Linked DNA regions of Bombyx mori. The protein of the gene in region 1 interacts with the protein of each later gene in a pairwise test. Links are inferred from orthologs where the notes say so. Each region holds a gene or a part of one and is shown in the gene's direction. Other genes may lie near its edges. The genes, in order: E3 ubiquitin-protein ligase RNF25 and ubiquitin-conjugating enzyme E2-17 kDa.

Evidence for each region.
Region 2: the proteins of E3 ubiquitin-protein ligase RNF25 (region 1) and ubiquitin-conjugating enzyme E2-17 kDa interact in a two-hybrid assay, tested with the Drosophila melanogaster proteins (2 studies listed by BioGRID). The link is inferred for Bombyx mori from reciprocal best matches to the Drosophila melanogaster genes CG13344 and eff.

Annotation. Positions count from the first base shown.
Region 1 is NC_085114.1:12,702,825-12,707,126, reverse strand, and holds the start of E3 ubiquitin-protein ligase RNF25, read left to right. Parts: upstream 1-1,412; 5' UTR 1,413-1,599; coding exon 1,600-1,622; intron 1,623-1,695; coding exon 1,696-2,005; intron 2,006-4,302.
Region 2 is NC_085118.1:4,997,045-5,001,433, forward strand, and holds the start of ubiquitin-conjugating enzyme E2-17 kDa, read left to right. Parts: upstream 1-1,302; 5' UTR 1,303-2,344; coding exon 2,345-2,368; intron 2,369-2,867; coding exon 2,868-2,931; intron 2,932-3,597; coding exon 3,598-3,629; intron 3,630-3,709; coding exon 3,710-3,893; intron 3,894-3,974; coding exon 3,975-4,114; 3' UTR 4,115-4,389. UniProt on the Drosophila melanogaster protein: Catalyzes the covalent attachment of ubiquitin to other proteins. Mediates the selective degradation of short-lived and abnormal proteins.

The DNA of each region.
Region 1 (4,302 bases):
ATATTGATTTTAATTTGTTTATAATAAAAGGGATATATAGTCTGTTATTTAAACTTAATTTAATTACTGTCCTTGAACTTCGTTTAGTAGGCCGTGCAATGTATGGAGAGTGACTCATGTCCCCCACCCAGCGTGTTTGTTTTTTTTATGAGTATGGGGGGGCTGCGCCTTCCCTATCCCGACCAGGGCTTCACCCCTGGATCCCACCGGGGCTTCGGCCCTGGACCCCGGCTCGGTACTTCGGCTCGGGTAGCAATTTTACACACGGGAGGAAATGTCCAACTTTTCTCCCGCGGTGCACATACTATTTTTTCTCCTACCAGGCCGAAAGTTCGTGGAGTACGGAGCTAGGGTCCAGGGGCGAAGCCATAGCAGGCGGTAGGGGGGGGCGCAGCCCCAATACTCATAAAAAATAATTAAACTGTTTTTTAATTTTTATATAAACTACTATTAATTGAATAAGAACTGTCTGATAAACTCATCTTTGTTTAATACTTCACTATTAAATTTTATTGCCTTTTGTTTATTTCACTTTTACACTAAACACAATATTGCAAATTACCCGAGCACAACAATGGCGGAGAATTTTAGCTGCGTGAAAGCAGATGTAGACACTAACGCGCATGCGCACTTGTACCCAGGGAGAAAAAATTACACTTTCTTCCCTGTATAGCGGGAGGAAAAGTTATACTTTCTTCCCTGTACAGCGGGAAGAAAACCGAACTTTCGGCGTAGGTAGGAGAAAAATAATGTTTCAATATCGTGTTTTTTTCCCTTTTGAGAGCTTCCGCTTTAACTTCCTCTTTTGAAGTCGGTTATAAAGCGTGATTGTGGTAGGTACCTTAAATAGCTCCCATTCTATTATTCTTTTTTTTTATTGCTTAGATGGGTGAACGAGCTCACAGCCAACCTGGTGTTAGGTGGTTACTGGAGCCCATAGACATCTACAGCGTAAATGCGCCACCCATCTTGTAAAAATATTTTCAATTTTCATCTTTAAAAATATTTTAAATTTCTACGTAAATGAAGAGGCGGGTAAAATTTTGCGTTACGCCAAAGTAACTATTCCACGTGGACGAAGTCGCGGACAAAAGCTAGTGTGAATATGAAACAATCCGCTGCACGTGACTTCTCGGGTTCTTAGAAAAAGTCCACTCTCAATAAAAAACCAACATTTTACCGAGTTTTTATTTCATCCCATCTCACCTCGTTCCATTTAACTTTATGCCAATTGCTTAAAAGTCTTCAATTAATCAGTTTCATTTAATTGCGCTTCAGATAATTTTTGAGAGAACAGAATAATAAAAGAAATATGACTTGGCGTAAACGTCTTATTACCAGACTATAAAAGCTTTAAAAAAATCACAGTAATTGTCTATGGTCAGTATAAGTCTATGGATGGAAGTGTCGTTGCCTTCCCCACCCCTCAGTCCCCTCGCTGAAATCAATGCGAGCAGCCTGAGCTTTGCATGAAGCTGGAAACATAAATAAAAGTACATATTATACCATATGTTAAGCTGCGTCAGCTGCATTGCGCTTGCCTGAAGTCTGAGCTGAATGCATCAATAATAATTTGTAGAACAGTTTTAAATCACTAAAATGTCGTCCTCCGGCGATGAAAGGTGTGTTATATCTTGTTCGGAATAAATTTGTATGAAATTTGTATTTCGTATAACATTTTATTGTTTTTAACAGAATCACGGACGAGGTGCAAGCATTAGAAGCAATTCTACTGAAAGATGTGGTAGTAAAACGCGTTGGAGATGTCCCAAAATACATAATTGAAACGATCATCCATCCGTTGACGGGGGATAATATCGATCAGCAATATGTATGTGTGACTCTGGAGGTGGGGTTGTCTTCTGGCTATCCAGACACCAGCCCAGAAGTAGCGCTCAAAAACCCTAGAGGTCTAGATGATATGATTTTAGACACTATCAACACACATATTCAAGACAAATTGAAAAATAATTTGGGACAACCAATAGTGTTTGAACTTATTGGAGTAAGTCAATGAATAATTATAAAAAATAACTATACAATCGAGTGGCCTTAATAAATGTTAGAATTTTAAACTGTTGAGCTAAGGAAAATTACAATATTTATTTCTTGTACTGAAAATAGATAGATTGTTGCCACAATTACTCGTTAGACTGACTATAGACATGGAAGTAACATGCATTAGTGTAGGTAGTTGACTTGCTTTGTTCTATTTCTTGACTGGCTTTAAACATAATATGTTATAAATAAAACTGATAAAAATTTGAGAAGACATTTGAATGAGAATGAAGATTAACAATTATTTTAATTTTTATAAACAGCTTTGTACACAGAGAATTGATATAGATAACAAAATTGTTATTGAGAGATTTCTTTTTACCTAGTAAGCTTACTTCTTTTTTCTTAGCTTTTGTGTGGTCAGCTCAGGTCAGTGGTGTATTTAAATTTTTATTCATCATATTACATATATTTGGTTTTTTGCTTGCCAAGTATTATTATTCTTTTTTTATTCATATACTATGATGTTTTTGTTAAAAAAATCTGTGCTAGAACATTAGTGAAGCTATGTCTAGGACTTCTTTTTGGATTGGACTTAAATAGACAGCAGACAAATAATTTGGCCTTGGTATCTCCATTAATATATATACATGTCTAATGAGGTAAAAGCCTGAGTCCAGTCCTCTTTATTTTCACAACTCAGTAGTGCTCCTAAAATATAAATGCAAAATTAATTTATGAAGTACTACTACCTACTTGTTTGGGACACCAAATTACAAAATGTTTAATTATTTAGGTTTTCATATATTCTACTGCTAGTAGTCTCAAAGGGTTGTACTGGCTTCACCACAATTAGTGAAAAAGCTCTCAGGGCTCAGCCTGAATGAATTTGCTAATATTTGCCCCAGCAAGAGCAGTGGTGATATATTGGACTACTGTAGGACCGGAAATGTGACCAATTGAGAAAATATTTTTCGTTCATCAAAATCTTACATTAAATTAGGCTAATTCAAGGAGATTGGTAACCAGTGCTTAGAATACCGAGAGCACAGGCAAAGCTGAAAAACACACGAGTGGATTGAGATCCGAAAGGACATATATGGGTTGTTTGCTCTTGCATCACATAAATCGAAGGTGGTAGTTAGCTCTCGCTCCATCTGGGCTGTGATATGGTTAATGGTGACTACGATAAGAGGGTGTGTCATGCCGTGCCACCTTTCTACGTTTGCTGACTAACTTCAATAAAAATATCAAAATTATCAAATTTTAACAGACGTGTATGCCCTTACACTAATTACTGACAAGAAATGCATAACATAGACCCAGCCAATTAATTTGATATTGATTTGATTTGATATTTAAAATTTTAAATTAATTTAAATTATCCTATACAATTTTTATAATAAGTAAGTCGACTATTTAAGTTATATGTATATTTTTGTTGATTATTATAAAGTAAACACAATTTGTGTTATATATTCAAATTTACTAAACAAAAGTTGGGTATTTGTGATAATTTGAAAGCACTCTGGATCTAAAAAAAATTGGCATTTTTAATGTCAAAGCAATTTCCATGTAACTATTAGTTTTGTTTGTTCATGTTTACTAGGTATTCTGGTTTATATAACCATTAATGTTCCAGGTAGTTCAGTTTTATTGTCTTGATGAGGGTCCTTTTTATTATACATAGAGGGATTATATAACACAAACATTTGCAAAAAGAATCTTTTGATGAGATTTCTTCATCACAGTCACTAGTTCTCCCTGGAACAAATCTCTATTTTTCATATTGAAGATTCTCTCCTCAACTACAATCCCAAATTAGTGATTATTGTATTATAAGAAGAGTTTTCATGGGGTTTATGTTATTCTATTGCTAACAATAACATAATGCTCTTAATGTTCTCTACCAATTCAGGATTTTGTTTAGTCACTGCTTTGTTTTGTTAAGTTACATTTATAAGTATTGGTAGCTGCTCTTTTCGATTATTTATTCTGAACATTATGTGCTATATGTACTATTAACAATTGCCGGTTGTTAGGGTATCTTGAAACCCCAGATTTTTTATTGTGTGAACCTGTGGACAATTTCAGTCTGCCCGATATCTTGATATCAAGGATCTGTGGGATATCAATCACTACGTGAGTGCCGCTATGTAACATACGAGGTATACTGTAATTACTATCACTGCCTCATGGCAGGAATAGGCTAGGTGCTGTTATCAAGTATTGATACACTTTCTCCAATATACGTCAGATCTTAGTGCGATTTGCCTGCGAGCAAGTATTAACAGAACGCCAGAA
Region 2 (4,389 bases), on another chromosome or scaffold:
CTAAAAAAATACATCATTCCCTACTCACAATCCTTTCACAACTGAATCACAGATTAATAAATTAGTAACTGCGTACAAATAGCATAGATAATATACTATAACTGAATTTTATGTGTTTGACAGTGATGCCAACTGTTCAAAAATTTACTCTACACCAATTTATTTACAGCCCGATTATATCCTTTTTTTTTCAGTGTGGCAATCGACTTCTTAGGACGCTTAATTGCCAGCGTCAAGCTTATAAAATCTTGAACTATTATTTTTTTATTCTTTCTCTAGACGGACAAGCTTACGATCCATCTATTCCTAATGGTAATCGACATAGATTCGCCCGATAAGCTCCAATAACTATTTGATCGGTTGATTTTGCTCTTAAGTTGGTTACGACCAGTTCAGAGTATAATCGCGAGATAGATCAATTCCTTTAAGTTTTTTTACTTGTATTTTAGCAAATCACCAAAGTGTCTATTTATCAGTGATGGAAAACTATCAATCTACCATTTTTCAGTGACCTCTCTTACGTCTGTGTAGTGTTATACTCTATGTGGTAAACTTTCGAACTTACAGCTTATTAATAATGTATTACGTCTTTGTTTTTTCGTGTACTAGAATGATTAGTGTAATCGTGATTGATTTATGTCTATAGGGGTAGTTCAGAGTATAGAGCTCATAAATTGAATCCTGGGTGTTAGGAAGGTGTTCCGAAGCTAGGTAATAGACAAAGAACTTATATTTTTAAATATGTACTATCCAACTCTGGAATGAACCGAAATAATAGCAGAAAATAAAAAAGTGCCATAAAAATAAAAATATTTTTCTTTTAGTAATGCTCAAATTCTTATCAACGAAGCTGATACGTACATATTATGTCTAACTGATGTAGGAGTTCCACTAGTACTCAACCCTCTCAAAAGAGCATGAAAAGCTGGTGGAGGGATATTCACTTATTAGAATTATTAGTACCTATGTAATACTTAAACTTTAAATATAAAATCAATGCTGTTTTATCAATGCTGTTTTATGTTATTCAACATTTTTGGACCACGGGAACGGTTTCATTTTCTTTTCCTGTGACATTAAATCCATGTATTTATTTCACGAAAGTGTGTCCCTTGAATCCTTATTTATTCGTATTTATTCGTAGCTACATTTTGTTTAGAGCTTAAAAAAACGTCACATGGCTTACTACAGAATAGCACCTGACTTAAAACACAACTATTGTATTCATGTATTTTAATATCCTTACGCTTTCAGTTAAAAAACATTAGCCAATTCTGTAGAAAACCTTCACACGCAAGCTTAGTTCATCGTTACTCAGAATTTTTACGTCCGACGGCCATAAATCGACAGCTTTTTGTGCAGTTCAAGAATGTGCCCTACTCACTACTACTCAATCTATGATTTTACAATCATTATGTGTCTTTTAATTAATGTTTGTAAAGCTAAACACAATAATTTTCAAATAAAGAAGGAAAATACTTTTGTTTTGAAGACTGGTTTCAAGTTCTCACATTTATTACTACTGATTAGTTATAGGCAGCATCAACAAACAATAAGTACATGCTACTGTGAACATAAATTAATGAAATTCTAAGTAATTTCCAATATTTTTGATAAAATTTCTTTTGCGTTTATAAAATATTTAGGAATCTCGGATCAACCTAAACGAATAACTTTGCTTCGATAGTGTTGAGCTGCAAAAAGTGATTTAAATATCGAGGTGACGTGCCAGTAATGAATATCTTCAGTATATAATCCAAAAATAGCGCTCTACGCATTCTTAGAGACTAAAGAGTTGGTGACATCATATCCTTTTGATGTTGCCGTCAGTAAAGCTTACGTTTATAGTAGAAAAATAAAAATTTAAATAGTTTCTTACAAGAACTAACGTTCTTCAAAATTAATTGAATATTAAATAACTTTTATCGTAATACAATAAGTCTTAATTTTATTTTGTTGACGAAATAAAAATAGCTAGAGTGATTTTTAAACGTAAGCCGTTCAATTTGGGAGTTTTAAAACTTTGAGTGTTTCCGAACGAATCCTGTGCATGGTCGATTTTCCTGTTTGCTGTTCTCCATTTGCTGAGAAGTGTTTAATTTCGATCAATTCGTGCTTTGTTCCAATTATTATCTCTTTTGTATTATAAGTTAATATTATTAGTTAATTAACAATTTAACGTTTGAATATAATTGTTGTGATTTTACAATTACCACATAAAACGACTTTGGTGGTACTTTTGCGTTTAGACAGGGAGCCATCTTGCAATCTCTAATCAAAGGTCCTTGGCTCACAGTTTCGTTGTCTAGTTGAAAGTCAGTATAACTCAACATAAAATAGTCAAATGGCGTTAAAAAGAATTAATAGGGTACGTTATTAAAGTTTATGTTACTATTATAACAATTGAACAAAAAGTGCGCTTTAAAATTGGCCGAAACGTATTGAACGTTTCGTCATTGTGAATTCATATTATCGAATTTTTCTGGATAATTCCGTCTTCGTAGTGATTTTACACGGACATAAAATGTGAACCTTTAAAATGTTCTTGTCTGTAAATATACGTAACGGTGTTTTGCTGGTTCATGTATATACGACAATTTTGTGCACACGGCGTACATAAAATGTCGGAATTATGTGCCAATTTTGAGGTTTTCTTGTCAATGAAGCCACCTGTGATGTGAAAATACTACAAATGTGGAATTACAATGAAGAAATCAAATTTACTGCGTTTGTGAAACGGTCAGGTTAACTAATGGGATGTCAGTCGATGCACAGTCTTTATTTTCAGAGTGATGATGTGACATGTCTCGAGGTGGTGTTGTCTCGTTGATTTACGCATGGGCTCAAATGGCTTTGTTTCTGTTTAGGAATTACAAGATCTGGGCAGGGATCCACCAGCACAATGTTCGGCAGGCCCACACGGTGAAGATCGTGAGTACAGAACCTACTATCTACCTTTTATGACTCATTCTATTGTATAATAAAAATAAAAAAAGTGAAATACTGCAACAGGAGAGGTTGGTTTCTGAGATTAATAAAGTTTTCTAACATTCGTTTTATATGTAGAAATAAAACACATTTCATGATACTTAAATATTCTTACTTTGTTAATGTGACAAGCAGATTGCTTATTCATAATACACTTGGTACCTACATCAGAATGAATCATAAGATATTTATATGAGAAGGTAAAATAAATATTTTCTAGCATCAATTACCGTAAATATAATTATTGACAAGCCAGCATGCCCTAATTAAGAGTACAAAATGTGTTAGTATGACTTAAAGAACCACAAAGGTTCTGTACTGTGAATGACACCATAGATGTCAATGACCTTTTGTAGATAGAAACAGCTGGAGTTGTTGTGAATTCTACTGAATATAAAATAATTTAAAATATGATTGATTATCTTTCCACTTAATTTTGGTGATATATGATACAGGTGTGGAAAGGGAAATTATTATCAAATTACTCTTTAAATAGTAAAGATCTTTATGTATTAATTTTCAGTGATCTCCATAAAGCGAAGATAAAATTGCATAAATATCAAAATAACATAACTTACATTCATTAATAACTTTTAAATATATTTTCAGTGTTCCATTGGCAAGCCACAATTATGGGCCCAGTAAGTATTGTTGTGTTATTCATGACAAAACTACTTGATTTTCACCAGTCTAATGAGTAATTATTTTCTTAAATTTTCAGGTTGACAGTCCTTATCAAGGAGGAGTTTTCTTCCTTACCATACATTTCCCTACAGACTACCCTTTCAAACCACCAAAAGTTGCATTCACAACACGTATTTATCATCCTAACATAAACAGTAATGGTTCCATCTGTCTTGACATTCTGCGTGCACAGTGGTCACCAGCGCTCACCATATCCAAAGGTAAATCAATAAATTTATTCTTAAGTTGTGTATTTTGTGAATTACTTACTGTATAATAATTTTTATTTATTTAATTTCCAGTGTTGCTCTCAATCTGCTCACTTCTATGCGATCCCAACCCAGACGACCCTTTGGTGCCAGAAATTGCTAGGATCTATAAAACAGACAGAGAAAAGTACAATGAATTAGCCCGTGAGTGGACGAGGAAGTATGCCATGTGATGAGTCAATTGTGACATCAACAAAACATACACACACACATCGCCACAGCCCGGGCTCTATCCTCCTACCCTTGTTCCCATTCCCTATTAGTCCTTAATCCATTTAAATCCCAATCCTTCATTTTTTGGACATTGTAAAAATCTTAAAGGTTATTTTAGGATCTGTCTAATTTCAGTCATGGCTGTTATATTTAAAAATGCGAATTTATTGCATCTAAGTAAATACAAAAATACACATGTGCAAACATTGTTTCTGTCCTCATTAGTAAGAAAATT